7 linked regions of the Oryctolagus cuniculus genome follow. The protein of the gene in region 5 interacts with the protein of the main gene of each other region in a pairwise test. Links are inferred from orthologs where the notes say so. Each region holds a gene or a part of one and is shown on either strand. Other genes may lie near its edges. The genes, in order: PPP1R3C, PPP1R3B, PPP1R7, SH2D4A, PPP1CB, CSRNP2 and PPP1R16A.

The links.
Region 1: the proteins of PPP1CB (region 5) and PPP1R3C interact in binary tests that used the Homo sapiens proteins (3 or more experiments, as listed by UniProt). The two-hybrid records come from large-scale screens. The link is inferred for Oryctolagus cuniculus from reciprocal best matches to the Homo sapiens genes PPP1CB and PPP1R3C.
Region 2: the proteins of PPP1CB (region 5) and PPP1R3B interact in a two-hybrid assay, tested with the Homo sapiens proteins (2 studies listed by BioGRID and IntAct). The link is inferred for Oryctolagus cuniculus from reciprocal best matches to the Homo sapiens genes PPP1CB and PPP1R3B.
Region 3: the proteins of PPP1CB (region 5) and PPP1R7 interact in binary tests that used the Homo sapiens proteins (3 or more experiments, as listed by UniProt). The link is inferred for Oryctolagus cuniculus from reciprocal best matches to the Homo sapiens genes PPP1CB and PPP1R7.
Region 4: the proteins of PPP1CB (region 5) and SH2D4A interact in binary tests that used the Homo sapiens proteins (3 or more experiments, as listed by UniProt). The two-hybrid records come from large-scale screens. The link is inferred for Oryctolagus cuniculus from reciprocal best matches to the Homo sapiens genes PPP1CB and SH2D4A.
Region 6: the proteins of PPP1CB (region 5) and CSRNP2 interact in binary tests that used the Homo sapiens proteins (3 or more experiments, as listed by UniProt). The two-hybrid records come from large-scale screens. The link is inferred for Oryctolagus cuniculus from reciprocal best matches to the Homo sapiens genes PPP1CB and CSRNP2.
Region 7: the proteins of PPP1CB (region 5) and PPP1R16A interact in binary tests that used the Homo sapiens proteins (3 or more experiments, as listed by UniProt). The two-hybrid records come from large-scale screens. The link is inferred for Oryctolagus cuniculus from reciprocal best matches to the Homo sapiens genes PPP1CB and PPP1R16A.

What each region holds. Positions count from the first base shown.
Region 1 is NC_091446.1:38,806,694-38,810,947, reverse strand, and holds the start of PPP1R3C (protein phosphatase 1 regulatory subunit 3C), read right to left. Parts: upstream 2,801-4,254; 5' UTR 2,527-2,800; coding exon 2,147-2,526; intron 184-2,146; coding exon 1-183.
Region 2 is NC_091433.1:78,798,559-78,802,779, reverse strand, and holds the start of PPP1R3B (protein phosphatase 1 regulatory subunit 3B), read left to right. Parts: upstream 1-1,421; 5' UTR 1,422-1,645; intron 1,646-2,188; exon of another isoform or gene 2,189-2,345; intron 2,346-4,221. UniProt on the Homo sapiens protein: Acts as a glycogen-targeting subunit for phosphatase PP1. Facilitates interaction of the PP1 with enzymes of the glycogen metabolism and regulates its activity.
Region 3 is NC_091434.1:516,581-520,080, forward strand, and holds part of PPP1R7 (protein phosphatase 1 regulatory subunit 7), read right to left. Parts: intron 3,047-3,500; coding exon 2,884-3,046; intron 1,538-2,883; coding exon 1,421-1,537; intron 1-1,420. UniProt on the Homo sapiens protein: Regulatory subunit of protein phosphatase 1.
Region 4 is NC_091439.1:3,497,812-3,501,987, reverse strand, and holds the start of SH2D4A (SH2 domain-containing protein 4A), read left to right. Parts: upstream 1-1,376; 5' UTR 1,377-1,533; intron 1,534-4,176. UniProt on the Homo sapiens protein: Inhibits estrogen-induced cell proliferation by competing with PLCG for binding to ESR1, blocking the effect of estrogen on PLCG and repressing estrogen-induced proliferation. May play a role in T-cell development and function.
Region 5 is NC_091433.1:174,168,179-174,171,678, reverse strand, and holds part of PPP1CB (serine/threonine-protein phosphatase PP1-beta catalytic subunit), read left to right. Parts: intron 1-2,997; coding exon 2,998-3,149; intron 3,150-3,500. UniProt on the Homo sapiens protein: Protein phosphatase that associates with over 200 regulatory proteins to form highly specific holoenzymes which dephosphorylate hundreds of biological targets.
Region 6 is NC_091442.1:54,540,235-54,543,734, reverse strand, and holds the end of CSRNP2 (cysteine/serine-rich nuclear protein 2), read left to right. Parts: coding exon 1-702; 3' UTR 703-3,104; downstream 3,105-3,500. UniProt on the Homo sapiens protein: Binds to the consensus sequence 5'-AGAGTG-3' and has transcriptional activator activity. May play a role in apoptosis.
Region 7 is NC_091437.1:168,177,306-168,181,374, forward strand, and holds the start of PPP1R16A (protein phosphatase 1 regulatory subunit 16A), read left to right. Parts: upstream 1-1,269; 5' UTR 1,270-1,426; intron 1,427-4,069. UniProt on the Homo sapiens protein: Inhibits protein phosphatase 1 activity toward phosphorylase, myosin light chain and myosin substrates.

The sequences.
Region 1 (4,254 bases), on a different chromosome or scaffold from region 5:
TGCTTTATGTTGAGACACGGTTTCAGAGGCTTCAGTTTATTCACAAAATGTCTTCGTTGAAAGTCATTGTAAGGACCCAGAAAACTCTTCAGAGGGGGCGAATGGGCCAAGCAAAGGCTCATGGCCACATCCACTGGCATGACGGAGCTTGTCAAAGGACGTGGATCTAAGACCTGGATCATTCTGGAATGTAAAAGGGAGAGGGGTCATCACCTGCACTGGGTCCTTACTTCATAAGTACTATTTTTGTGCAGACTGAATTCCAGCCATGTAGTAAGGATCAGGCAGGTGCTGTTCTATGGAGCAGGAGGCGGCAGTGTTAGGTGAGCCCACCTGCATCCTATGTCCACCTTCACTGTCGGCTGACTGCAGGGCTGCGGGTTAACTGCTTAACTTTTTAGGGGTGGGAGGGGTCTCTGTTTCTCCTTCTGCAAAACAGAAGTGTTGGAAACGTAATGATCTCTACACAACTTTAAGAACCAGGGCTCTGAGATGGTTCTCAACCCTGGCTAGTCACTGTGACCTTGAGAATCGGTTGGTTTTCTTTCTTCTTAATTTGAATACTTAGAACCCCTGTGGATGGAGCAAAGGAAGCAGGGATGCTCAGAAAGCCTTCCAGGTGGGTCTAACAATGAGAGAGGTTTGGAAGCCTCAGATCCAGTCCCTCCGCTGCCTTTGCTTATTTTGCTGCTCAATGATTTATGCTGCTTTGGAAAGGTAAGCCACTTGGAAAGAAAAAAGATTCATTAATAAAATTTGTATGCAGTGGTTTTGAGAGTGACAAGGCTAGGGAGAATGGAAGGCAGAAAGTTACCTTTGCACTTTGTCATGTTATTCCTCATGTTTCAGAAGTAACTGACTGAAACAAGTCAGCAGTTCAGGCACTTAAAGAAAAAATTTGCATAACCTGTATTTCCTATGGAAACATGCCCACGGCAAGTCCGCATTTAAGTGGGAAAACTAATGACCTGAAAATTGGGCTTTTTAAAAACTATATATTGTATTTGAACTTATAAATATTTTAAAACTTTATAGAAAACAAACTAAAAAGTTAGTAATTATCTCTAGGTGATAGGATTTCACAATTATTTTTGTCTTTGTACTTTTTTGGATATTTTCTAATGTTTTGGTGATGGACATTTATAAGCGGAAAGACATTAAAGCTATGAAAAATTTTTAACATAACTATGCTCAGCAATAAACCAAGAAGAATCCTTCAAGAAGGCTTTTCTGGTCTTTGGTTCACATTACATTTGGCCAAGGGCATGGGATTGAGAGTTCCCCCGTATTTCAGCCTTATGGATTCAGAGCTATGTGTATCCTGTGCACAATATTTCCAAGTCTGCCTTCATTGCTCATTAGAGCAACTCCAAGCACCAAGCAAGCGCTCATTCTCACAAAATGAATAATAAGGAGCACTCGCAGAACTCACTTTATCAGCGCTGGGATTTTTCTGGGTGACCTGCAGACTTAAACAAATGAAAGCTAAAGCTATCACTCTGGGTCTAATAATAATGAACAGGCTAGATTTTTAGAGAAGGCTTCTGCTAAGTTATGTCTGGGCAAGCTATTAAAAGTAGTTTATGGGAGCCTGGGTTTGTTTGTTGTCTTTTGCATTTATGGAAAGACAGTTTTAGTACTGGGCTATTTCCTTGGAATTTTCAGTCCTGGCCAAGAGTTAAAAATAATAGTTTGCTCCAACTCTGAGACCGAGTTTGCTATGGCGAACCGTGATAAGATTGTGAAAGCGTCCAGTAGTTTTGCACCAAACTAAACTATCTAACCAACAAGATGAGAGGTCTGTTCCCCCAAGCCCGGCTGCCCGCGTCCGAGGAACAGACTTGCAGGACCAAAAGAGAAGTCTTATCAGTGAGGCAGATGGAACTATAGCTGACTCAGGTTTAAACAGTTTCTGGTTAAGGATGCTGATTGCCAACATACGTTCTGCTTAAGACACACACTGCAAATTTCCGTACCTCCCAGGCCCCCTGAGTGCCGGATTCAATCTAGCAATCTGTCAACTTGCCCTCCTCTGGGGTCTCTATCTGCAGAAACGACAGAACGAAAACGCCCCCACCCCATTCCAGTCTGCATGCATCTGCACGTTTCGCCTGACTCGGGGGTTGCAGAGTCGCAGCCAACATACCTGGTGCAGCTCATGAGGCAGAGAGGCGGGGCTGACCGCGAAAGCCTGCACCCCGCTGCCTGCGCACTTTCGCCCTGCAGCTCCCAGCAGTGCCCCCTCGCAGGTCGCTCCCGCAGATTGCGGGTCAGGCGCCAGAGAGACAGCTTATCTGCTCGGAACCACGTGAACGGATCCCTTGGACCAATCGCCGGGCCGCGGGCCCGCTGGCGTGACCAACCAGCGCCCAGCTGCAGCTCGAGCCCTCTCCCCAAGGACGCGATAGCTGCGGGGCTGAATGTGCCCAGCGCCAGCTGGGAGCCCCGGGATTTGGGGACTCCTAGGCCAGCTGGACTGAGCGGCGTAACGCGAACCCTGGGCGAGGGGGTGTGCAGGCAAGTCATGCAAGGAGCCGGGAGGCGGCGCCCAGCTCACCAGCCAGCGCCTCGGGAATCCGTCTGCGGGTGTGTGCACGGCTGAATCTGAGCACAGCAAGTTGTGGCTGGCTCCCGACGTCTTCAACGTTTGCATTGTTCGTTGCTTGGTGTGCTAGCGCACCTTAGCCTCCGCGGGGAGAAGTTTGGCTGAGTGTGTGTGTGTGTGTGTGTGTTTCGCTTAGGGTGAATCCACGAATGCATCATAGTGGGTGCCAGGAACCACCCTCTCAACACGCAGATCCTATAAAACGATAAGACAGCATTTAATTAAAAGGCAATTTGTAAGTTGATCTATTCTTCAGTTTTCTCCCTGGGAGAAAAAACTATAGACAGAAATGAAATGGCCTTTTTCACTCACATGGCCAGCCAAAGCCAGTGGTGAACCCAACTCCCTGGACTGGGTTCTGACGTCCTTTAGCAGTGCTAAAATGTCACGCGAACATTCACGGCCCTCCCAGCACCAGTGCCTTTCTCTGGGCTTTCCTTATTTTGTGCTGGTTGGGGGCGGTTTTTGACCATTCGTCCCAACCTTGAAATTAAGTTTCTAAGTATAAACTGTCTTTATAAAACTTGTATCTAAGTTCTGCTCTACTTAAATATCCAGCAGTCAAAATGTACAAAAAAGATCACGCTGTCTTTTAAAGAACAGTCAGCAGTGGAACGGTTAAAGTGGAGTTACTAAAATGTGGAAGAAGAAATTGGGAAAGATGCTTCAGGTTTGGGCTTCATTTTTTAAATGTAACAACCAGTGAGGGGCAGGGATTCGAGCCTTTTAGCTCAGTCAAAACCAGCTGACAGGGCCCGGGCTTTGGGTGTGGCATTTCCTAGCTCCGTGGATCTGGTCACCGTGGTCTCGGTTTCCTCCGGTGGGAGACAGGGGCAGCAGAATGGTTCTGGACTGTGGGCCAGACCCTGCTCTGTCTACAGATGTCTCACAACAACCCCAGGTAGTGTGTCTCACTCCACTTTAGAGAAAAGAAGACTGAGGCACTGAGGAGGCACGAGACCTACCCAGGACCTCACAGGTGGAGCTGGCTGATGCCAGAGCGAGCCCCACTGCACCAGAATCTCTTCCACTAATTACCCTGGCCGGAAAAACCGTGCAGGGGGAAGGTGCCATAGGTCACATGGGTGGTAACGTTGTTATCAACCTATTTCACAGAGGAGGAACCTAAAACCTAGAGACGCTAAGCTGTTTGCCAGGGGTTGGTTAGGCCGGAGCCCAAACTGGAAGCCTGGGTAGTCCTTTCCTCTGCCCAAAATCATATCTTGAGCTAAAAGGTGAATGTTACCAGCTAATGTTATGGGGAAATGTAAAATTGTAAGAATTTTTTGTGATCTCATTTTGGGAGAGAGATGTGCATGCAGAGTAAATAAAATATGCTTCACTAAAATGTTATCCGTACTTTTATTGAGGTGGTGAACTTATGAGTAACTAAAAATGTCTTTGATGTTTAGCTTCTCTGTATTTTTAAAAATTCCTACAGTGAACATGGATGACTTCTCTAAGAAGTAATTTTTAAATGATTTTAAAATGTGCAACAAGTATAGTTCAACATGTATAGCCCTCCTGCCAGGCACAAGGACTGTGCTGGAAGCTCTCACATACCTCAGCCATTATTCACAACATCCTTTTGTACTTGTTTCCTTTCACTCCACTTTCTCTCCTGCCCCCTGGTGTTGATTAACGCCACA
Region 2 (4,221 bases), about 95 Mb from region 5:
TTCTCTTGTAAAATATGACGGGACCTCACATGAAGAGCAGTGACATCTCACATTGGAGTGCCCAGTCCTAGTCCAGGCTACTCCATACTTGCAATGCAGCCTCCTGCTGCTAATGGGCCTGGGAAGCAGCAGATGGGTGCCCAAGTCCTTGAGACCCGCCACCCAAACTGATGAAAGCTTTACTTAATACATACTAACTAGATCTTCTGTATATAAAGAGAATTGAAAATGAATCTTGATGTGAATGGAAGGGGAGAGGGAGTGGGAGATGGGAGGGTTGCGGGTGAGAGGGAAGTTATGGTGGGGGAAGCCATTGTAATCCATAACTGTACTTTGGAAAATTATATTTACTAAATAAAAGTGTTTATAATAAAATATATATATATATAAAAAGAGACCCTGCCACCCAAGTACTGGGGAGACTTGGATGGAGTTCTTGGCTCCTGACTTTGGCTTGACCTGGCCCAGGACTGTTGTGAGCATTTAGGGATGGAAGATTCTCTCTCTCTCTCTCTCTCTCTCTCTCTCTCCCATTACCTCTCCGGCACTCTGCCTTTCAAATAAATAAATCTTTTAAAAATTTAAATCCAGACATATATTCCTCAGAATATGCATATTCATGAACTTTTTGCAGACTCCTATGCATGGATTTCAAAACTTTTTCCACCAAAATACATTTGCATTTTAATTCTAATTTCCATGAACTTTTTGATGCTCCCCCTCTCATTCCCCCTGAGAACCCCTCGGCCACATCTGGGGTACTCTGTGGGTACTATGGGTGGTGGTCCCCCCACCCCAATACCACCTTCCAAGGAATCTGCTGTCATCCTTTCTGGCAACACCCCGGTACGATGGGCACAAGGCAAGGGCCAGCACCTGCTTCCCACACACCGGAAGCAACTTAGGACACGGATTCCTGAGGAGGGTCCCTGTAGAGTGCAGGGGAGTAGCCTTGATGACCCCTCTCAGGGCCCCCTCCCGGCTCTGCAGGCGACTGGAAGGTTAACAGTCCCCTGAGAGCTACGCAGCTGGAAGGGTCAGGTGGCTGAGGGGCCGGCGAGGCAGCAGGAAGCCACCCCAGCTGCCTGCCAGGCACGCAGCGCTCCTGGGTTTGGCTAGCACTTGGCCTGGGCACGGAAAACTTTGCATGCCGCCCGCGTCCGAGGCGCTCGGGTGCACCAACCTGCCTCCGCCCCCTGGCGCCCGGCCTCGGGCTCCTGGGGAAGCGGTGACCCACCGCCCCTTCGCAGCCCCTGGACTCCAGCCCTATCACTCCGGGCACGCTGCAGATCACGTGGCTGAGCGCTGCTTCCCCGCCGGGCCGCGGCTATTGGTCGGCGGCTCGTGTCCCGGGCGCGCTCATTGGCTGCGGGGGGCGTTCACGTGAAAGGGGGTCTGGGATGGAAAACCTCGAGTTGGGGAGCGAGCGACCAGAAAGTTAAAGGGAGCAGCTGGGGCCGCGGGAGCCCGAGTCCTGGGCGACGACGTCGGGGGCGGGAGAGAGGAGGTGAGCGGGCAGCTCGCGCCCGCGCAGGGACGCGGCTGCCCGCGGAGGGCGCAGACCCTGGCCCCGGCTCCTGCCGTCGCGATCGCTGCCCCTGTCACGCCCTGCGTGGCTGCCCTGTGGACTTACGAGCTGTATCCGGTACGTACCTCCCACCCCCGCGCCCACAGTCCGACTCGTACGTGCACACCCGCACAGGGACGCCCCAGACGGGCTGGAACAAACTGTTGCCCCCACGTGGAGCGGGCGCGTTAGGGACCCGTGTTCCACCGAGCTACAGGTCCCACCGCAACGGGCGGCCCTGGGGCTGGCCCGGGACTGCAGGTTCCCTCCCCCGCTGTTGTCCCCGGCTCGCAAATGGCCCCTTTCTCGCTGCAGAGTAGGGGTGTGGCGGGCAAGAGCCAGCCGCTTGGCCTCTGCGCGCGCCTCAGTTTCCCCGAAAAGTGAGAACCACGAGAGCGAGCCGTCTCCACACCCAAATGGACTTGCGCACAGAAGTTGTCGCACTAGGTGGTGTCTCGGTCCCCGAGGGCGGCGGGACGTAGGGTGTCCTCCGAGCCCCAGACCCGGGCTGTGCGGGGAGGCCGCGGCCAGGCGGCCCGCGCGGGGGTGCTCGTGCCCCGCGCAGCCCCGCCGGCTCGCCCCGCCCCGCCCCGGTGTGATAAGTCGGGCTCCTCCTCCTCCTCGTCGTCTTCCTCCCCCTGCCGGTCACGTCGGCCCTGCCTCCGGGACACAGAGACGCTCACGTAGTTGGGTGGCGGCGGCCGCCCCTGTCACCTCCCTCCCGGCCCTCGGATGCAGCGAGCACACCTGGGGAGGGGGCTTCTCCGCGGCCCGAAAGGTGGGTGCAGCGCGAGCAGGAGGGCCCAGTGCGGCTCTGCTGGGCTGAGGTGAGGGGGGCAGAGTCGCAGAGGGGCTTGTGGGCCCCCGGCAGTGTGGACGCACTGGTCTGACGCCAGGCCCCTGTTGAGCTCAGAGAAGGGGGTGTGGAGAGGCCAGTCGCTGCGAAAGAGTAGGTGCAGACCCAGAAGGGGAGCGGAGGAGTTGGGGGCTGCGCGGGAGGGGAGAAGTTGGGGGAAGGCTGGCCTTGGGGGCGTGTGGGGCAGCTGGCGTGAGTGGGGTGTGTGGGCAGCCTCCCTGCGGGGCACAGGGTCCGGGAGAAGAGAGAGGTATGGTTTCGGCTGGGGGAGAGGAGGAGGAGAGGAGGAAGTGGTTCATCTGGCAGAGTTGTCCGGGAGCCAAGACCAGAGTGAAGCCAGCGGGAGGACTGAACCCGAAGTCAAGTTGAGGTATGCAGGGAGAAGCCGGTGGGAAGACAAGTGTCGGACCTCGTTGGCCGCCTAGGCGGGACCTGGAAGAAGCCAGCGACTTGTCCTAGCAGCACAGCTGGGTGGACGCCTTGTTAGGACAGAGCTGTCTCTGGGCCTCCCTGTGGCCATTTTTGGATGGCCAGCTCTGTTCCCTTTTAACTTAGCTCTTTCCTGTGACCTGCAGCCTGGGTCACAAATACTCATCTGCAGTGTGCTTTGTATGATGGTGAGGAGGGGTCCGAGGGGCTTTGAAGGCTGGGGACAAGGCCCGCTGGCCTGAGGACAAAAGGAAGCAAAGTGAACTTTATCTCTGCTGGATCAGCCAGACCTCTGGGGAGGGAAGAGATTGGTGAAGCGGGGGAGGGGTAAATAGCCATGTCTGTGTCTATGACCTGCTTGTGGATGCTTTCCTAATGTAGTCCGATGCATTTGTGTGCTGCCCGTGAGTTGTTCATGCATCTGGTTTTTCTTATCAAAAGAGAGAAAGAGAGAGGGAGAGAGAGAATGGAAGGAAAAATGCCTCGGCCCCAATACAAAGAAGATTTGCTTCCTATAAAATGCACAATCAGAGCGGTCAGTGGCTGTGCTGTGAATGGAGGTCACGGGGTAACTGCCCGTACAGTCGGCAGTTTTTGTAAGAAAAGTCACCGCCGTGCCTCGCCCTGGCCAGCTGGCCAGGAAAGGTGTGTTACTACGTGTCACTCGCAGATCATGGGAGGCCTTTATGCAGAACTCTCGTGTTCATGGAATGTTAGAGTCTGGGCTGTGAACACTGGCGTCTACTCTGGGGCATGGCCCGGGCCCTTGCCAGGCACAGCTGACCTCGGAGGTGTCCACGTGAAAGCTCAGTGGCTGGGGACACAGCGTGGCCCGGGGAACAGCTACTGTTGCTCTCATGTGCCCGTCTGGCAGCTGCCACTCAGATCCCACGTCCCATACTGCGGTTCAAGTATGTGTCCGTATCTCCTGGCTCTGGTGTTTGTCCCTTGCCAACCGTGGGGATTTATAGTCCTTGGCCTGGCAGAGGGAAAGGGCTGGAGCAGCCAGAGAGTATAACAGGAGAGGAGGCCGCACGTACAGCCTGGCACTCCTGTGTTGGAACTGGTCATTTTCATGCCATCTGCAAATGAAGCACCTGTCCAGGTGCTGTCCTCTCAGGGACATAAAAAAGTATTACTTTGCACATCTCAGCTGCTAAGGGTGGTAGTCATCCCCGCCCAGTCCCGGGGAAAGACTTGAGCAGACAGACAGCCCACTCCAAATGGGCACTTTGGTGCACTGATTCTTGGGGGACGATTGGGTTGATAAAGTTGGAGTCTGTTACGAGGACAGGCAAGGCAGTCACGGCATAGCCGAGACTGAGGCCGCCAGGGCCAGTGTCCTCACCTGACGTTACAGTGGCACACA
Region 3 (3,500 bases), on a different chromosome or scaffold from region 5:
TGTGTATGTGGTTTACGTGAAGTGCCTGTGTATGAGTGGAGGGGCATGAATGAGGTGTGTACATGAGTTGTATGCACACAAAGTACGTGTGTATGAAGTGTGTGAAGTGTGGGGCCAGCACTGCGGTGTAGTAGGTTAAGCCACTGCCTGTGACACCAGCATCCCATATGGGCATGGGTTCAAGTCCTATATTTATTTATTTATTTTCTTTAAAGATTTATTTCATTTATTTGAAAGTCAGAGTTACACAGAGAGAAGAGAGGCAGAGAGAGAGAGAGCGAGAGAGAGAGGTCTTCCATCTGTTGGTTCACTCCCCAGATGGCTGCCAACAGTTGGAGCTGCGCTGATCTGAAGCCAGGAGCCAGGAGCTTCTTCCAGGTCTCCCACGCGGGTGCAGGGGCCCAAGGACTTGGGCCACATTCTACTGCTTTCCCAGGCCACAGCAGAGAGCTGGATCGGAAGAGGAGCAGCCGGGACTAGAACTGGCGTCCATATGAGATGCTGGCACCACAGGTGGAGGATTAACCTACTGTGCCACAGCACCGGCCCCCCATTGCTCCACTTCTGACCCAGCTCTTCCCACGGCATCTGGGAAAGCAGTGGAAGATGGCCCAAGTCCTTGGGCCCCTGCACCCATGTGGGAGACCGGGATGAAACTCCTGACTCCTGGCTTTGGCCTGGCCCTTGAGGGCATTTGGGGAGTGAACCAGCAGATGGAAGACCTCTCTTTCGCTCTCTGTGTCTCTCTAACTCTGAATCCTACATGGGTGCTGGTTCGATTCTCAGCTGCTTCACTTCTGATCCCACTCTGTTATGGCCTGGAAAGCAGTGGAAGATGGTCCAAGTGCTTGGGCCCCCGCACCTGCGTGGGAGGCTCAGTAGAAGCTCCTGGCTTCTCCCTGGCTGTTGCAGCGGTGTGGGACGTGAACCAGCAGATGGAAAATCTCCCTTTATTTCTCTCTGTCTCCTTCTCTAACTCTGCCTTTCAAATAAATAAAACAAATGCTTACCAAAAACGTGTGTGAACTGTGTACAAAAAGTGTGTGACAGGAAGTGTGTGTATGTGAAGTGTATGTGTATACAGTGGAAGTGTGTATACAAAGCATGTGTGTGCATGAAGTATGTGAAGTCTGCATGTGTGTGAACTATATGTGAAGTCTGTGTGTGAACTGTATGTGAACCATGTGAGAACAGGGTGTGAAGTCTGTGTGAATGTGTGTGTGAAGTCTGAGTGTGAAGTCTGTGTGTGAACCATGTGAGAACAGGGTGTGAAGTCTGTGTGAATGTGTGTGTGTGTGAAGTCTGTGGGATCTAAGGTCTCAGTCACCAACAGGGAAGCAAAGCACTGCTGGTGGGACACAGTGAGGTCCACAATGGGCTGGGGCCACAGGTCTGGCCTGCAGGAAGTGTGGAGCCGTACCTGCATGCTGAGGACGGTCAGGTTGGTAAGTGCGTCCAGGTTCTGCAGTTTAGTGATTTTGTTTTTCCCCAAAAACAGACTTTCCAGATTGGTTAATGTGTCGATATTTTCAATTGCCTGTGAAAAGGACAGAGCAGTGGTGAGCAAGGAGACCTCCAAGCTCACCAGAGAGGGAAGATGCCTGGGCCATATCTGCTCTGCAGACTTCCCCGCGAACCCATGCATGAAAGAACAGGGTGAGGGCACGGGCACGGGCACGGGCACAGGAGAGTGGTGAAGGATCCTGACCCCCACGTGGTCAGAGCTCTGGGTGAGGATACAGCCTGAGAGCCCCTGGCACACAGGACTTCGCAGGCCCAGCGGGTTCTGTGCTCACAATAGCCTTGGCCTTCACGGGGGGCTCTGACCCTAGGACTTCAGGATCCGGAGTCCACTCTGCACTGTTCCCAGGCTGCGCACTGCTGCCCCCGCTGCAGCCACACGTCCTGCCAGCACCCGTGCACCTCCACCTCCCAAGCCAGGACCAGGCTGTCCCGTCTGCTTCCCCCGGTGCCTGGGCACTGTGCATAGCTGAGTTTCCCTCTGGTCAGCTCACCACACTCTAGAACAAGCCGCACGTTTCACCTGACAATAACCACACTGAGCTCACACGCACCAAGTGGGGACTCCCACAGGCAGGGGCAGGCCGATTTCTGAGTCACTTTCTCCTGGGAGTTCTTCAGCGAGACACTTGGCGAAACGCTGACCCCTGGGCTGCTCAAACCAACCTCCCTTGGTCTGCACCTGCCTGGCCATCAGGGTGAGGCATCCTCTGATGCTTCCAGAGCCTTGTGGAGATGGCTGGGAGTGCTGGCCTCAGCTGGGCAAGCAGAGGCTCTTGGCCCGTCCGTGCCATCAGGGCGCCAGGCGTGGGCTTGCGTGGACCTCTGGCAACAGAATTCCTTGTCCCAGCCCCAGGCAAGTCCCTTGCCTCCTCTCCCCCACGACGGTCCCTCTGTGACCTGTCCAGGATTCCCGACAGATGCCCGGGGCTGTTCACAGTTGTCAAAGACACTGCCCGCTCTGTCTACGGACACCACAGTGCTCCTCCCAGTCTCAAGGTCAGGTGGACCCTGGAGAGGTGCTGACCCTACCCTGCTGGGGGATGCGTCCCAGGCACACAGCTGTCTGGGCAGGAGGGGCCCACCCAGCACTGTGTTCTGGGCAGCTCGGCATGGACGTCAGGCAGTGCCTGCTGGGACCTGTGTGCAGGAGCCAGGCTGGGCCACCTAGTGTGGAAACAGGATTTATCCACACTGACTTCCTATCAGTGTTTTCCTCAAGACACTAATCCTCCTTTGCTGGAAAAATCCACAGCGTGACAAGCCACAGAGCCAACCACACGCGCTGCCTGCAGCCCTGTTCAGCCCACACAGCCTGGGGGAGGGACAGCAGCCTGTGCTGTCCGTGCCACCAGCACCTACCCGGATGCGGTTTGAGCCCAGCTCCAGCATCTGCAGCTGATGCAGGGTGCCGATGTTCTCAATCTTATTAATTTTATTGTTGACCAAGAAGAGTTTTTTCAGTCGTGTCAATTTGTCAATCCCTTCGATGTTTCTCAGCAGATTAAAAGAAATATCTAGAATTCTGGGAACAAGCAAAACAATTCTTCTTTAATGAGCAGAGGTTATACAGAGCTCTGAGTTTAACTAGAGAGAAGGGGTAGCCGTCTGGGTGCAGTCTCTGTGGGGTGGAACCTGACTGTGGCCCTGCTCCTGCCTGGTGCGCACCAGCGTGGTGGTCCCTCAGGACTCTAGAGAGCCGGGGGGCAGCCCACGGGTCCCGGGACTGCATCTGGCAGAGTTCCACTGCAGGACCCCACACCTGCTCTGCACGTGGAAGGGGCCTGAGTCAAAACAAACAGAACTCCGGGGCCACAGGGGCCCAGGGGCAGCTGTGTTCGGGTCCCAGCTCCTGTGTTTTTACAATTATCACTTATTCTTTTATTTTTAGAATTATCATTTACTCTTTTATTGTCTAAAAAAAGGATTCATGGGGTGAGCATCTGTCCGCATCCCATCCTGGAATGCCTGGGCTCAAC
Region 4 (4,176 bases), on a different chromosome or scaffold from region 5:
GCTGTGGCTCGGGAGTGCAGTGGAGGGTGGCCCAGGTGCTTGGGCCCTGCACCCCATGGGAGACCAGGAGGAAGCACCTGGCTTCTGGCTTCGGATCAGCGCAGTGTGCTGGCCGCAGCATGCTGGCTGCAGTGGCCATTGGGGGTGAACCAACGGAAGAGGAAGACCTTTTTCTTTGTCTCTCCCTCTCTCACTGTCCACTCTGCCTGTCAAAAAAAAAAAAAAAAAAAAAAAAAAAAAAAAAAAAAAAGACAGAAGCTATAGGTGGGGCCAGTGTTGTGGCTCAGTGGCAGTCACCGCCTGAGATGCCAGCATCCCGTATCAGAGCTCCGCTTCTGATCCAGCTGCCTGTTAATGCGCCTGGGAAAGCAGCAGAAGATGGCCCTCAAGTACTTGGGTGGCTCCATTTGGGAGACTCAGATGGAGGTATAGGCTCCTGGCTTCAGCCTGACCCAACTCCAGCCACTGGGGAGTAAGTAAACCAGCAAATGGAAGATCTCTCCTTCCCCACCACATTCCCTCTCGCTCCCTCCCCCTATGCCTTTCAAATAAACAAGTATTTAAAAAGCCACAGGTGTTTTTTTAGTATAATCCTGGAAGTAATGCATCCTTACTTTTGCATTTCTGTGGGTCACCAGGAGCAACTCTGGGACCTCATGGGAAGGAAGCTACACAAGACTGTGGGTCGCAGGAGATGGGGATCATTGGGACTTGGAGGCCAGGTGACACAGGAGGCAAAACCCATAGCTTAGGTGTGACGCGGTTAGAAGCTGGAGTTTACAGTGTGTGGTGTGAACGAATGTGAGCCAATGTGTTTGCACAGTCAGCACCTTAAAGCAGAAATTCTATCTGCTAGAATGACCACTGCATCCCCAGGTGTTGTTTCCTGCCAATGCCTGGTTCTCTAACCTGCGGCTCCAAGCTCCCACTAACTGTGAGCACCTTCTGCAGCTGGGCATGGGGTGGGGTAGCAAGGGGACCTTGCTTCCCTGGCCTTCCTGAGCGGGCCAGGCAGGCTGCGTGGAGCACACCCGGGGCTCACGGCCACCTTTGCCCACACCTCTCCGGGGGAGGCCGCCGCTCTCCCCGCACACAACTCTGTAGACCACGGCCACCCCACCCGTGCTAGCTTCCTCCTGGCTTCTTTCCTTTGCTGCCCCTGTCGCCTCCACCATTCCTTTCCCGTCCCGCCGAGCCACACCTGTCCGCACAAGTGCCCGAGAAGAGACAAGGCAGAGCGGCGAGTCGCGGGGCGCGCGGGACCCGGCCGTGGGGGCTGAGCAGGGCCGCCCCCTGCAGGCCCCGCGCCGCGGCGTGCGTGCGCGGGAAGGCCCGCGGCCGAGCCCTCGCGCACCGCCCGGCCCGGCCGTCACTCAGCGGCCTGTGGGCGCGGCGGCGGCGGCGGCGGGGCGGGAGCTGGGCTCCGCCCGGGCCTCGGCGTCTCGCGCGCGCCAGCCCGCGCCTCCACCACAGCTCCCGGGGCCGCCCTGCTGGACGTGGCGTGCGCGCCGGCGAGCCCAGGGCCGCGCACAGGTGGGTGCTGAGGGCGGGGGTGGCCGGCGCGTGGGGCTGGGGTCGTGCGGTGTAGGGTGTCCGGTGTCCGGTGTCTGACGGAGCCGGCGGCCGGGTGCGCGGCGTCCCGGGGCGCCCTGAGAGGGAGGGCCCGAGGGCGCACAGGGGAGTCCGGGGCTTCCGGCGGGGTCACCCTCAGGGGCAGGGCCATGGGGACCCTCTGCGCCCCTAACTTTCCCGGGACGCCCTCACGTGGGGTCGCGGCGCCCAGCACCCCCAGCTGCTGTCCCCGTGCTCCCTCGAGGGGGCGCCTTGCAGGTTTTCTGTGTGGGTCGCCGCTGCCTTCCCGGGGGTCTCAGAGAAGCCGTGGGCGCTGCACCCTCTTTGCCCTTACCCCCTCCCCCAAGTGGCTTTTGGCTGCTTGTTGAATGGGAGTGACTTGGGCACACTTACTTTGCACTTGTGAGGTGAATTTAAAGAGTAAATACGTGGAAAGACATTAGGCGGGCAGCCACCTGGCGCGCAAGTGGGTGTTTCTGGGCAAATTCGTGGATGCGATCATTTCAAATTCCCGAGAATGGTGGCTCTTCACACACTTTACCAAAATGTGCTGGCGGCCCTGGCAATCCCGGTGAGCCTTAAAAACAGCCCTTTTGCAGGTGGTGGTGGTGGGGTGAGATAACTTGAATAAGATCTAAAAAAAACAGGGCGAGCTGTTTGGAAACAGTCATCCGCATTTTTAACGTGAGAGGTAAATCGTGCCCACCTCAATGTCGTGCCCACGCGGATTTCAGCGGTCTTCCAGGTCTTTGGGTTTGTTTAGGTCTGAGTCGTTAAAAGCAGGGTTGTGTTCTACAACAGTGACTGGGGAGAAAAGTGTGAGAGTCGGGTCAGATCCGCCCAGAAGCCCTGAAGAAACTGGTTTCGGGAATCAGCAGCGAGGGGGTGGGCTCCTGGCTGGTCACCCCTGCCTTTCAAGAGGGAAGTTCCGTTTTATTGGGTCCTGAGCAGCCGGAAGTTTCCTGCACTTGGTGTTATCAGACCAGGAGAGCCATTCGGGTGTGGATCAGTGCTGGCAACGTTTGTGCCCGGGGAAAAACCCCTGCTGAGTGGATTTCTCCATTCAGTTTCCTGTACCCTGGTTCTCCCTGGCTTTGTAGCCTTACGCTCGGTCATGCTACATGGTGCAGATTCATGCACACTGCATGGTTGGGGAAACTGAGTCCCAGGAAGCCCCACGTCCTCCAGCTCGGGAGAAGGAGGGTTGGGAGGCCAGGCAGGGGTCCCTGTGGGTTTCTGTGAGCACACCGTGGGCATCCCAAGCCTGGTGGGGTGAAGCTGCTTCACGCTGGTGTGAATGAACAGCTCACCCTCAGCTGGAAGTCGGCGCCTTCCCTGAGGGTGGGCTGGTTGACGGTCCTGCTGGAAACCCACGTGGGTGGCCGGAGGCAAAGCCAGGCCACATAAACATGGAAAGAGCTTGATGCCATCGCAGACGTGCCCTGAGTTCTGCACACGAGAGAGGGGCTGCACCGGCTGCCCTGTGGCTCCCAGCGCGTGTGGAAAACCAGCGGCTGGGGAGCGAGCAGGGCAGACAGTGCAGGCAGGTGGAAATCCTCCAGCACAGACAAGGAGCGCATGGCTGACAGCGCTGTCCATGCTGCCTCTCCTGGGTGCGGGTTTTCTTTCTTTCTTTTAAGATTGTTTATTTATTTGAGAGGCAGAGTTTCAGAGAGACATTAGAGAGAGAGGTCTTCCATCTGCTGGTTCATTCCCCAAATGGCCTCAGTGGCCAGAGTTGTGCCCATCTGAAGCCAGGAGCCAGGAGCTTCTTCCAGGTCTCCCACATGGGTGCAGGGGCCCAAGAACGTGGGCCATCTTCTACTGCTTTCCCAGGCCACCACAGAGAGCTGGATCGGAAGTGGAGCGGCCGGGATGCAAACCGGCTCCCATATGGGATGCCCGCACTGCAGGCGGAGGCTTGACCCCATGGGGTGTTTTCAAACCTGATCCCTTCTCCCCTAAAGCTCATCTGCTGTCCACAGGGGTGGGGCTTCGGCCCCTGAGCGACACCCGTCTTAGGCCCCTTTAGGTCATCGTTTCCCTTGCCGCAGGCCCGGATGGTGTCCTGACGGTTCGCCGAGATGAATTCAGAAACCAGGCCCCTGTGTTGGGCAGTCTAGCGGGGGGCAGACTTTCCTGCCAGATGGCCCGGCTCTGCACCTCCCAGCCGGTGACCTGGGCCCAGCTTCCTCCCTGAGAAGGGGTTGGTGATGGGTTCCCGGCAGATGAAGTGAGTCAGTGCATGCAGGGTGCCCGGTAGCTCTGCCATCAAGAGGACAGGGTGGGGTGTGTCAGGGGGAGGGGGGAGAGAGAATGTGAATCTTACACTTCCAGGCTTTTCGTTCTGAGGGTCTAGCCGTCCTTTTGATAGGGCTGCCCCCATTCAAAATGGTCAGAGCAGGAGCCTCACCCCTTGGGCTGCTGGCGCTCTGCCCTCTGCAGGTCGGTGGCTGGATATCAAGAGGTCTTCCCTCTGGGTTCTGAACCATGCACTGGACCGTGCACTCTCCAGCACTGGAATCCAGTGCCTTGGAGCCAGCCCAATCCTTCCTGGAGGAGGAGTATCCTCTCTCTCTCTCTCTGTCTCTCTCAGATATATTT
Region 5 (3,500 bases):
TATAAATTAATGTAATCTTTGAAACAGTAGCCAAATTAATTCAATGCTTGTTCTTTAAACATTGAATCTTGACTCTGAAATTCTTATCTGACTCCATTAAGGTTGCGGAATTCCAGATTGTTGTTGCTGTTATTATTTTATATTGTATGCATCCACACTCAAAAATCTTGAAGCCAGCTACTTTGTGGTTTTACAGGTTGTCACTGAAATTATAGAGTCTTAGTATCTTGGTGCCTTTTTTTTGTTTTTAAAGATTTATTTGAAAGGCAGAGTGTTGCTGAGAGACAGGGAGAGAGAGAACATTTTCCTGTGTGCTGGTTCACTCTCCCCAGATGATTTCCAAGGCTGGGATGTCTAGGCTGAAGCTAGGAGTTAAAAACTCCATCCCGGTGGGTCTCTCACGTGAGTGACAGAGGCTTAAATACTTGATCTGTCCTCTGCTGCTTTCCCAAGACCATCAGTAGGGAGCAGATGGGAAATAGAGCAGCCAGAGCTCAAACCAGCCCTCTGTTATAGGACGCCAGCATTGTAGGCAGCAGCTTAGCTCACTGCCATGCTGGCCGCAGTATCTTGGCTTTCTGCTCACTGCTTTCATCTCAAGGATCAGACTGGAAAGTGGGAAGCATTAAAGAGTGCTGGAGATATGTGAAGAGCTTCAACCAGAAAGGGCTTATGAATTGAGACTACATATTCCAGTGGATTTTTTGTGTTGGCGAATTCCTTAAAACATAATAGCAGGAGTTTAGGAAATATCGATGATGGAAATTTAATACATTGCCATTAATTCTGTTGTATTTTAGATAATTCTCCTATGGAGATCTTTCAGGATAAGCTGTAATACGGAGTTTGATGCAGTGGTTAAGACATCACCCAGGATGCCCATGTTCCTTATTCAAGTGCCTGGGTTCGAGTCCTGACCCTGCTTCTGATTTCAGCTTCCTGCTAAGTTGCACTCTGGGAGGCAGCCGATGATGGTCTTGGGGCTTGGATCCTGCCACCCATGTGGTAGACCCAAATTGAGTTCCCAGCTCCTGGCTTTAGCCTGGACTAGCCCCAGCTGTTTTGGGCATTTGAAGAGTAAACCAACAGATGAAAGATAATCTGTTTGTCTTTCAAATAAATATAACTAAATTTTTTTAAGAATAAAAGATAATAAATTTTAAAAATCTTAAACCATCTCATTGTATTAAAAACACCTTCCCTGGGGCAGACATTTGGTCCAATGGTTAAAAACTTCATTAGCCATTGTAATTCTTAAAAAATTATTTAATATCACCATTTCATTGTCCACTCCTGATGTCACTACAGTTCAACTTTTACTTAAGTATCCTACCCTGAACCATTGAATCTACTTTCATTAAGGTCTGATAATTTACTATAATTGGCCTATATTTGTTCTTTGTCTTACTCCATATATTTGTGGCATTGAAACTTAACCATTTCCAACTTCTAGACAATTCTTTATCCTTTTAGGAAATCTTTGCCAATTGTTTTTGTTGTTGTTTATTTTGATCATTCCTCCTCACTATTTCTTTGCTCATTCCCCGGTCTTCTCACTTTATGGTTTCAAGGTGGTTTGAATTCTAAGATTTCCATTACTCTTTATCTATTGAAGATGCTAAGATAAGTATTTCTAGTTCTGACCTCTTTTTTTTATTTATTTATTTAAAGATTTTTATTTATTTTATTTGAGAGGTAGAGTTATAGACCGTGAGAGAGAGAGAGAGAGAGAAAGGTCTTCTGTCCATTGGTTCACTCCCCAAATGGCCACAATGGCCGGAGCTGCGCTGATCTGAAGCCAGGACCCAGGAGCTTCTTCCCAGTCTCCCACATGGGTGCAGGGGCCCAAGGACTTGGGCCGTCTTCTGCTGCTTTCCCAGGCCATAGCAGAGAGCTGGGTTGGAAGAGGAGCAGCCGGGACTAGAACCAGCACCCATGTGGGATGCCAGCACCGCAGGCGGAGGATTAACCTACTACGCCACTGTGCCAGTCCCAGTTCTGACCTCTTTTGACCAAAACATTACTAAAGTTCAGGATTAGTCTGATTTTGTTCCACCATACTTTCCTTTTAAATCCTTCAGATCTAAGGAGAAGATATTTTTCTTTCCTCAGATTGGTCCGTAGGTTAAATGCAATCCCAGTGATATTACAGTTGAGTTTTCATGGACTTAAGCAAGCTGGTTCTGAACTTTATGTGGAAGAACAAAGGAGTCAAAATAACCAAGACAGTCCTGAAGAGAGAAAAATGTGGGGATACTAGCCCCATGAGCTTTTTATAAAGACTTACTGAAAACCTCTGGTGTGTTATGGGCTCGGGGATAAATAGTCTAGTGGAGTAGATTATAGTGCTCAGTAACAGCGTAACTCCATAAGGAAGGGATGAAAAATGCTACAGGGGCCAGCACTGTGGCTCAGCAAGTTAAAGCTGTGGCCTGCAGTGCTAGAGCCCCAGCTGCTCCACTTCTAACCCAGCTCCCTACAGTTGTGCCTGGGAAGGCAAGTGAGGTTGGCCCAAGCCCTTAGGCTCTTGCACTCAATGGGAGACCCAGATGAAGCTCCCAGCTTACGCCTGGCACAGCCCCAGTCTTTGCGGCCATTTGGGGAGTGAACCAGCAGATGGAAGATCTCTGTGTCTCTCCTTCTCTCTCTTACTGCCTTTCAGATAATAAATAAATAAATGAATATCCTGAAAAAAGAAAAAAAATGCTACTGAGTCAATCATTTATTCGTGTGTAAAAATTCAGAAAAAATGAACTTAGAGCATGTCGTACAGATTTCCTCTCTGTAGGACTGGTTCCAGTACTTCTCTTAAGAGGCCAGGCAGTCTTGTTGAATGAGTTAGCTAGGCTGAGATACTTGGGGGCAAATAATTACCATTGTTTATTGAAGGGTAAGAGGGCAGGAAAAGAGATGTGATGTAGATGTCCTTTAGTCGAAGTTTTTGTGTTTTATTTTTCCTTTTTTTCTTTTTCATTGCTGTATTTCTGTTCTTTAAAGGTTTGCTCTGTGATTTACTGTGGTCTGACCCAGACAAGGACGTGCAAGGCTGGGGAGAAAATGACCGTGGTGTTTCCTTCACTTTTGGCGCTGATGTAGTCAGTAAATTTCTGAATCGTCATGATTTAGACCTGATTTGTCGAGCTCATCAGGTATGAACTATAAGAGTTGTGGATAGCTTAATATTTGTTAACTTCACACAGTCCCTCTCATTTTATTTTTGAGACATCTGAATGACTTGTGTAAAGAAGGCAGTGGGAGAGACAAAGCCATTACCTAGATTGTACCATTGTAAATGCTTTGGAGCCAGCGTTGTGGCATTGTGGGTAAAGCCTCAGCCTTCAAAGCCGGCATCCCAAATGGGTGCCAGTTCAAGTTCCGGCTGCTCCACTTTTGATCCAGCTCCCTGCTAATGTCCTGGGAAAAGCTGAGGAAGATGGCCCAGGTGCTTGGGTCCCTACTACCCACATAGGAGACCTGAAAGAAGTTCCTGGCTCCTGGGA
Region 6 (3,500 bases), on a different chromosome or scaffold from region 5:
GGCTTCCAGGACTTCATTGCAGAGAACGAGACGGCAGTGATGCACCTGCAGAGCGCGGAGGAACTGGAGCGGCTCAAGGCGGAGGAAGACTCCAGCGGCTCCAGCGCCAGCCTGGACTCGAGCATCGAGAGCCTGGGCGTGTGCATCCTGGGGGAGCCTCTGGCGGTTCCCGAAGAGCTGTGCCCAGGCCTTACAGCCCCCATCCTCATCCAGGCCCAGCTGCCCCCAGGCTCCTCCGTGCTGTGTTTTGCCGAGAATTCAGACCATCCTGCCGCCTCTCCGGTGAACATGAACAACCCATCGTACTTGAACAGTGGGCCCCTGGTCTACTACCAGGTGGAGCAGAGGCCAGTGTTGGCCGTGAAGGGAGAGCCTGGTCCGGAAGAAGGCCCGGCGCCTTTCCCCAGGGAGAAGGATCTGAGTGTCTTCTCTGTCCCACTTACCTCGCTGGCGGCTCGTCCCCCAGACCCGCCTGCCCCCTGCAGACCCGAGATGGGGAAGACAGCCGCCCTGGAAGCGCTCCTGCCCGAAGACTGCAGCCCCGAGGAGCCCGGCAGTGAAGACTTCCGCCCTTCCTGGTCCCCCTCGAACCTTCCCTTCCGCTCAGACAGTGAGGGCGGCTGTGGGGCGGAGGAGACCTCTCAGCCGAGTGAGGACCGGCCCCCCGAAGAGGCCACCCTCGAGCTCCCTCTGGCCGTGTGACGTGGAGATGGAGACGGCCTCTTCCCCACTCTATTTATTCCCTTATTTTATCGAACGTCATTTCAAAACAAAACTGCAGAAGCGGCTGCTGCTCCCATGTTATTTTATTGGGGTCTTTGGGGAGACGGGAGGGAAAGGATTGTTTGTATACATATTTTTTAAAAGAGAAGCAGTACCAAGGAGACCAGCCCCAGCTCGACCCGGGCTAGAGCCTTGGGGCAGAGGCTGCACTGCGCCCAATACTGAGCTTTCTGGGCCACTGGAACAAAGAAGTAGGATGTCCCAGAGAAGCTGGGTAATGCAAGCAGCTGTTCTTCACGTAGGGACCAGAGCACGAGCTTGGGGACCACTCCTCTCTGGAGCTCCAGGCAGGGCACAAGCTCACTGCTGGCAAGGGCCCGTCCGCTAGCCCGCCTCGGCGTGTTGCAGCACGATTGGAGGAGTCGGGGCCGAATCTAGACAGGAGGGGGCGGAAGGGTGTGTGCTTCTGTACAAAACCTCTAGGGTTTCTAAAACTGTAACCTACCTTCCCCGACTCCCTCTTTGGTACATAAGTTAATATTTGACATGTTCCTTGTTCTCCGACCTGGTCCCCACACTGGAGATTCCTGGTCTGTAACTTGAATTGTTTCTTTCATTTGTTCCTAGGTACTAGAGTTAAACTTGTCGATTTGTCTTTTTTTTTTTTTTCCCCTTTCTTTCTTTCTTCATCCTTTGAAGAAGAAAGCTAGACTGGCTGGGGATGTGGCACCATGAGCCCGAGTCTCCCCTGCTCTGCCAGGCAGCTGCAGGCTGGGGCTCGCCCTCCCGCGAGAGGCCTGTGCGGCGCACTGGCCACGTCCAGAGGAGGCAGCCGGCACAGGTGGCCGCCTGGGAAGTTGACTTTATTGTGTCATGCTTGCTTTTTCGCCCTGGCCCTCCCCCTGCCCCCAGCGTTGGCAGATCTGGGATTTAGTAGAACGTAGGCAATCTGAGGTCACTAACTGGTTTTGGTCCTTTTTTCCTGTATCTTGGATATACAGGGTTAGAGCTGTTTAGATTCCGGTCAGTGCCCAGAACTGCAGGTGTTTAATGGACCTCTCCACTGAAAATCAAAGCCAAATCCATCCTCAAGTGCCACGTGCAACCCCCAGGGCCCAGAGGACTCGGGTTCTGAGCCTAACCTTTGCAGTCTACAGAACGGACTCACTTCCACTTCTCACCTCTGTCGGGGGGTTGGGGCCCAGCTTAGGTTCCGAGACCTGCTCCACTGAACACCACTGATTTCCGTCTAGTAGCAGTTATCTTGGCCTCTGGAGCAAAACATTGTTTTTGCTAGCATCCTTCACACACCATGCTTTACTTCTGCTGTAGTTTAGCAACCTTTTTTTTTTTTTTTTTTTTCTGATGGGAGAGAGAACTATTCCTACTCAGCTTCTCATAAAGCCTTTTTCTGTGGCTGTCAGGGCCCAGCTGTGTTAAAGCAGCCTTCATGTGTGTTGCAGCAGCGTCTCACCTATGAAAACCTCTGATCTCTGATCTGAGCCTGAAAGGCTTCGTACACAGCACAGATCTGTGTGTGACTCACGTCGCTTCCCGTGCATTCCTGAGTTTGCTTGGTTTTGTTTGGAGGGGAGTTCTTAATTAGGCACCTAGGTCCTTCTCTCCCCAAGTCTGAGCCTCACCAAACAGAGCTAGGGGTCTGCCGGAGAACACCCCCAGCTGAGCTGCGTTCCCCACCTCACACTGGTGCCCTGGGAGCTAAGGCAGAGCTGGAGCGAGAATCTGGTCTTTGGGGAGAAGAATCTTTCTTGCGTGTGGTGTTGAAAGGGGAGTGCGAGCTCTCAGGAAGGCTGCAGCTTCATCTAGGAAGCAGATCCCAGCTGCTCTAACAACCGCCGCTGGGCTCAAGCCAGGACGATGAATCTGTAGTTACTCTCCTTGCCGACACTCCCCTCCCCCATGATAATTGAGCAACTGTGCTTTGCTGCTCTCAGTCTCTTTCACTCCGCTTTCCTGATGCACACTGATCCCAGACTTCTGAATGCTAAACATGAACATTTAGCATAAACCGTCTTGTCAAGCAAGGGGCCTTTCTACCACGTGGTCCATTTCATTTCTGGTGCTACCTGAGTTGGACGGGGTTCTAGCTCATGGCTGCTAGGAAAGGCAGGCCTCTGACCAGAGAGCGCGCTTCAGTCCCCCTCAGCCTAGGTCTAGGTAAATGACCCTGATTACTGCGGCTCATCATTCTCCACTTTCCTTTCTCACATACTGTACACAGTGTTTTCAATGTGAATCCAAAGCTTGTCTGGTTCTTTGAAAACTTTTTTTTTTTTTTTTTGCCTTTTAGGTTCCTTACATTGTGATAATGCTGTATTTAAAGAGAATATTTAAATGTAATATTAAAGAAATATTCAAAAGAATGGTGTGTTATTCTTTATCTTGACAGGCCACAATTCTGTTACCTGTTAGGCAAAGAACACTTTGCCAGTTTTGTATATAAAACTAATTAGGTCAGTTAGGAATTAATGTTAACAATAGCAACATTCTGTGATGGAAAAAATAGAACATTCTCTTTGGAGCATCCAGAGCTTGGCTTGCTTTGCGCGCACATACATGAGTAGGCCTGGCTCCTGCTGACGGAGCTGGGCCCTGTCTATGCGGTTCCTACCCTTGGGTCCCTTTTCTCGTTCCATTAACTTTAAAGATGGATGAAACTCTCCATTCCTGGTTACCACCTCCAAACGTCCAACAAAAAGATCGGCTTCCATCCCACCAGAAGTGTCCTGTTCAACCAATCCAATCCCTTTAGTTAA
Region 7 (4,069 bases), on a different chromosome or scaffold from region 5:
CCTGTGTGCCCACCCCGTGGGGAGCAGGGGCTGAGTGTGCCCTGGGGGTGCCTCACGGCTCCTGCCGGGCCCTTCATGGGGGTCAGCCCTTCCCCGGCCATGGCCGACTGGCTGGCTGCCCCCTCGGCACTCCTGTTGGGGCCCTCTGCCTCCTGTTTCTTGTGCTCCACGTAGGGGGTTAGTGCCTGTGGCTTCTGAACCCGCTATGTCAGCAGAGATGTTCTCTCTTTGATTTGAAAAGCAGACACAAAGGGACACGTTTCATCTGCTGGCTTACTCCCCGGTCGGTTGGACAGGTGAGGCTGGGCCAGGAGAGGCCAGGAGCCACAGGGAGGTGGCAGGAACCCAGCCGCCAGCGCCATGCGGCACCTGGGGCCTCCAGGGAGCGCCTTAGGAAGCTGGGGTGGAAAGTGGGGGCTCTCCAACACGGCACGTGCGTGTCCCCAGTGAGAGCTAACCACTGCTCTAAAGCCTGCCCCTCCTTACTGGCCTTTTTTAAAATTATTTTTAAGGACTGATTTATTTATTGGAAAGGCAGGTACACAGACACACACGTCCTCCACCTGCTGGCTCACTCCCCCAGATGTCCACAGTGGCGGGGCTGCTCCCCGGGAGCTCCATCCAGGTCTGCTCCGTGGGTGCAGGGGTCCAGGCACTCGGCCATCTTGTGCTGCTTTCCCCGGGACACTGTCAGGGAGCGGGATCCCCGTGGGGTGAGGCTCCCGTGGGACGCCCTGGGGCCTCCCTTGCTGCCAGGATGATCCCGAGTGCCGGCGGGGTTCCCAGTGCCGGCCTGGACCTCTCTCTCTTGCACATGCTGCTTCCTCCACCCGCGCAAGCAGGCACGTGCGGGGAACTCCCGCCTTCCTCGGGACCCCACACGCGGCGGCGGGACACCCATACCCCATGCCGGAGTTCCTAGCTCCGGCCCCCGACCCAGCTTCCTGCAGGTGCGCACCCCGTGCAGCCGCAGTGATGGGTCCCCGCCACCCACGTGGGAGACCCGGGAGGCTTTGCTCGGGCCTCCGTCTCTTGCTGGCTCTGTGGGTCTCTCAAAGAAAATGAAATCGAGTAAGCTAAAAACATCTAAAAAGTCCAGCTCACATGGATGATCACCCGACCGGAGGGCCGGGCCACAGCGACACCATCGACCCACGCCTGGCCCTCGCCAGTCCCGGGGCACGCCCCGCCCCTCCCGAGCGCGCCTCCCGCCCCGCCCCGCCCCGCCCCGCCCCGGCGGCCCAGGCCCCGCCCCGCCTCCCATGGGGCACCGCGGCTTCCGGCTCTGGGCCGCGCGGGCCGGAAGTGTAGCGTTGCCATGGCGAAGGCCGGGCGCGGGGCCCGCCCCCGCGGCACCGAGGAGAGCGAGCTGCTGACCGCCCTGCGAGGGAGATGAGACGCGGGCAGCTGCCGGCGCGAGAGCGAGGTGAGGCGCAGAGCTCCGGGACCTGCGGCGGCACGGGGCCGAGGGCCAGGGATCGGGGGCCGGGCGGGGCCCCTGCCCGGGCAGGAGGCGGCCGAGCCGGACCCAGGTGGGGGCGCTGGGGAGATGGGTCTGGCGGGCCCCGCCTGTGGAGGCCGCCGCGAGGGCGCTGCTTCTGTCCGAGTGTGAGGTGGGTCTGGGCCCTCGGTCGTGGAGGTCAGCTGGGCTTGCCTTGCCCGGACTTGCTGTGCCTGCGGCCTGCGGCCGGCCCTGTGGGCCGGAGCCGGGGCGTGGGCGCAGAGGGGAGGTGGCGCGAGCCAGCGCCGGCCCCGCGCTCTCCGTCGCCTCTGAGTCTTACCTGGACGCGGGGCCGCGCGCTCTGGCGGGGCAGGGTCCTGCCCGCAGCACCTGGCCCTCTGGTGCCACCCTGCCCGCAGCACCCTGGCCCTCTGGTGCCACCCTGCCCGCAGCACCTGGCCCTCTGGTACCACCCTGCCCGCAGCACCCTGGCCCTCTGGTGCCGCCCTGCCCGCAGCACCTGGCCCTCTGGCGCCGCCCTGCCCGCAGCACCCTGGCCCTCTGGCGCCGCCCTGCCCGCAGCACCTGGCCCTCTGGTGCCACCCTGCCCGCAGCACCTGGCCCACTGGTGCCGCCCTGCCCGCAGCACCTGGCCCTCTGGTGCCGCCCTGCCCGCAGCACCTGGCCCTCTGGTACCGCCCTGCCCGCAGCACCCTGGCCCTCTGGTGCCACCCTGCCCGCAGCACCTGGCCCACTGGTGCCACCCTGCCCGCAGCACCCTGGCCCTCTGGTGCCGCCCTGCCCGCAGCACCTGGCCCACTGGTGCCGCCCTGCCCGCAGCACCCTAACCCTCTGGTGCCACCCTGCCCGCAGCACCCTGGCCCTCTGGTGCCACCCTGCCCGCAGCACCTGGCCCTCTTGTGCCGCCCTGCCCGCAGCACCTGGCCCTCTGGTGCCACCCTGCCCGCAGCACCTGGCCCTCTGGTGCCGCCCTGCCCGCAGCACCTGGCCCTCTGGTGCCACCCTGCCCGCAGCACCTGGCCCTCTTGTGCCGCCCTGCCCGCAGCACCTGGCCCACTGGTGCCACCCTGCCCGCAGCACCTGGCCCTCTGGTGCCACCCTGCCCGCAGCACCTGGCCCACTGGTGCCACCCTGCCCGCAGCACCCTGGCCCTCTGGTGCCGCCCTGCCCGCAGCACCTGGCCCTCTGGTGCCGCCCTGCCCGCAGCACCTGGCCCTCTGGTGCCGCCCTGCCCGCAGCACCCTGGCCCTCTGGTGCCGCCCTGCCCGCAGCACCTGGCCCTCTGGTGCCGCCCTGCCCGCAGCACCTGGCCCTCTGGTGCCGCCCTGCCCGCAGCACTCTGGCCCTCTGGCGCCGCCCTGCCCGCAGCACCCTGGCCCTCTGGTACCACCTTGCCCGCAGCACCTGGCCCTCTGGTGCCACCCTGCCCGCAGCACCTGGCCCTCTGGTGCCCATCAGAGAGTCGGCGCTGCCCTGGCCCAGCGTGGGCCCGTTTCCTGAGGGGGCTGCCTGTGGGGACCTCCCGGTCCCTCACTGTGACGGGTGTCCAGGGCTCCCAGGTGTCAGCTGCCTGCCCCTGCCTCAGGCCCCCTGCCCAGTCTTGCTCAGAGCTGGGGTGGAGCGGGGAGTTCCTCCCCTCCGCCGATGCCCCGCTGGACGTCCACTCTGCCGGCTTTGATTGGCCCGTCTTGGCCTCATCCCTCACCTGTCCCCACAGGGCTGCCTGGGCCAGCAGACGCCTAGCTAGGGGACGTGGGCATCTTTGGGCCGCACCTTGGGCTCTGTCCCAGGGACTCCGGGAGCTCTGGGCGGCGTCGCGGGCCACTTCCTGTGATGTCTGCACTGCAGGACCCTCAGGAAGCTCCATCTCGGGTGACCCCCTGCCTGTGGCCAGAGCAAGATGTCTGGCTGTTTGTTTACCTCCAGGGACTTTGGGAGCCTCCCCTGAGCGTCCCTGGCCCAGCTGTGTGCAGGTGGGGCGAGAGCCTGGCCAGGTACAGGCCGGCCCTGTGTCCCGGTCTCCTGGGAGCTGCTCTGCACACTCAGCAGGTGGTCAGCTGCTGGCTGTCCTGGGGTCAGCACTGGGTGAGGTCTGAGGGTCAGCAGGGGAGCCCGCAGTAAAGGGCTCGTGGCCCAGCGAGTACAGCCTCTGCCTGCGGCGCGGGTTCCAGTCCCGGCTGCTCCGCTTCTGATCCAGCTCCCTGCTAGTGGCCTGGGAAAGCAGCAGCAGATGGCCCATGTGGGAGACCTGGAAGAAGCTCCTGGCTTCGGCCTGGCCCAGCCCCAGCCACTGCGGTCACTGGGGAGTCTGTCTCTCCTCCTCTCTAACTCTGCCTTTCAAATAAACTTTTAAAAAACTGTATATATTTATAAGAATGTTGAAATAGGGTGCAGAGACATGAGTGACAGGAGCCGCCACGTGCCCTCGGGTACTAGAAGGTGACGGGAGGAACAGGTGATGACGATGGCACCAAGTAGGCAGACGGGAAAAGTTTTCAGCTTTGCCGGTCAGGTGGCTTCCTCAGAAGACCACCTCGCGTTGCGTTGTGGAGCGCAGCATGGCAGGCGATACAGACGAGCTGTTTCAACAAAACTGCAGTGTTTGCG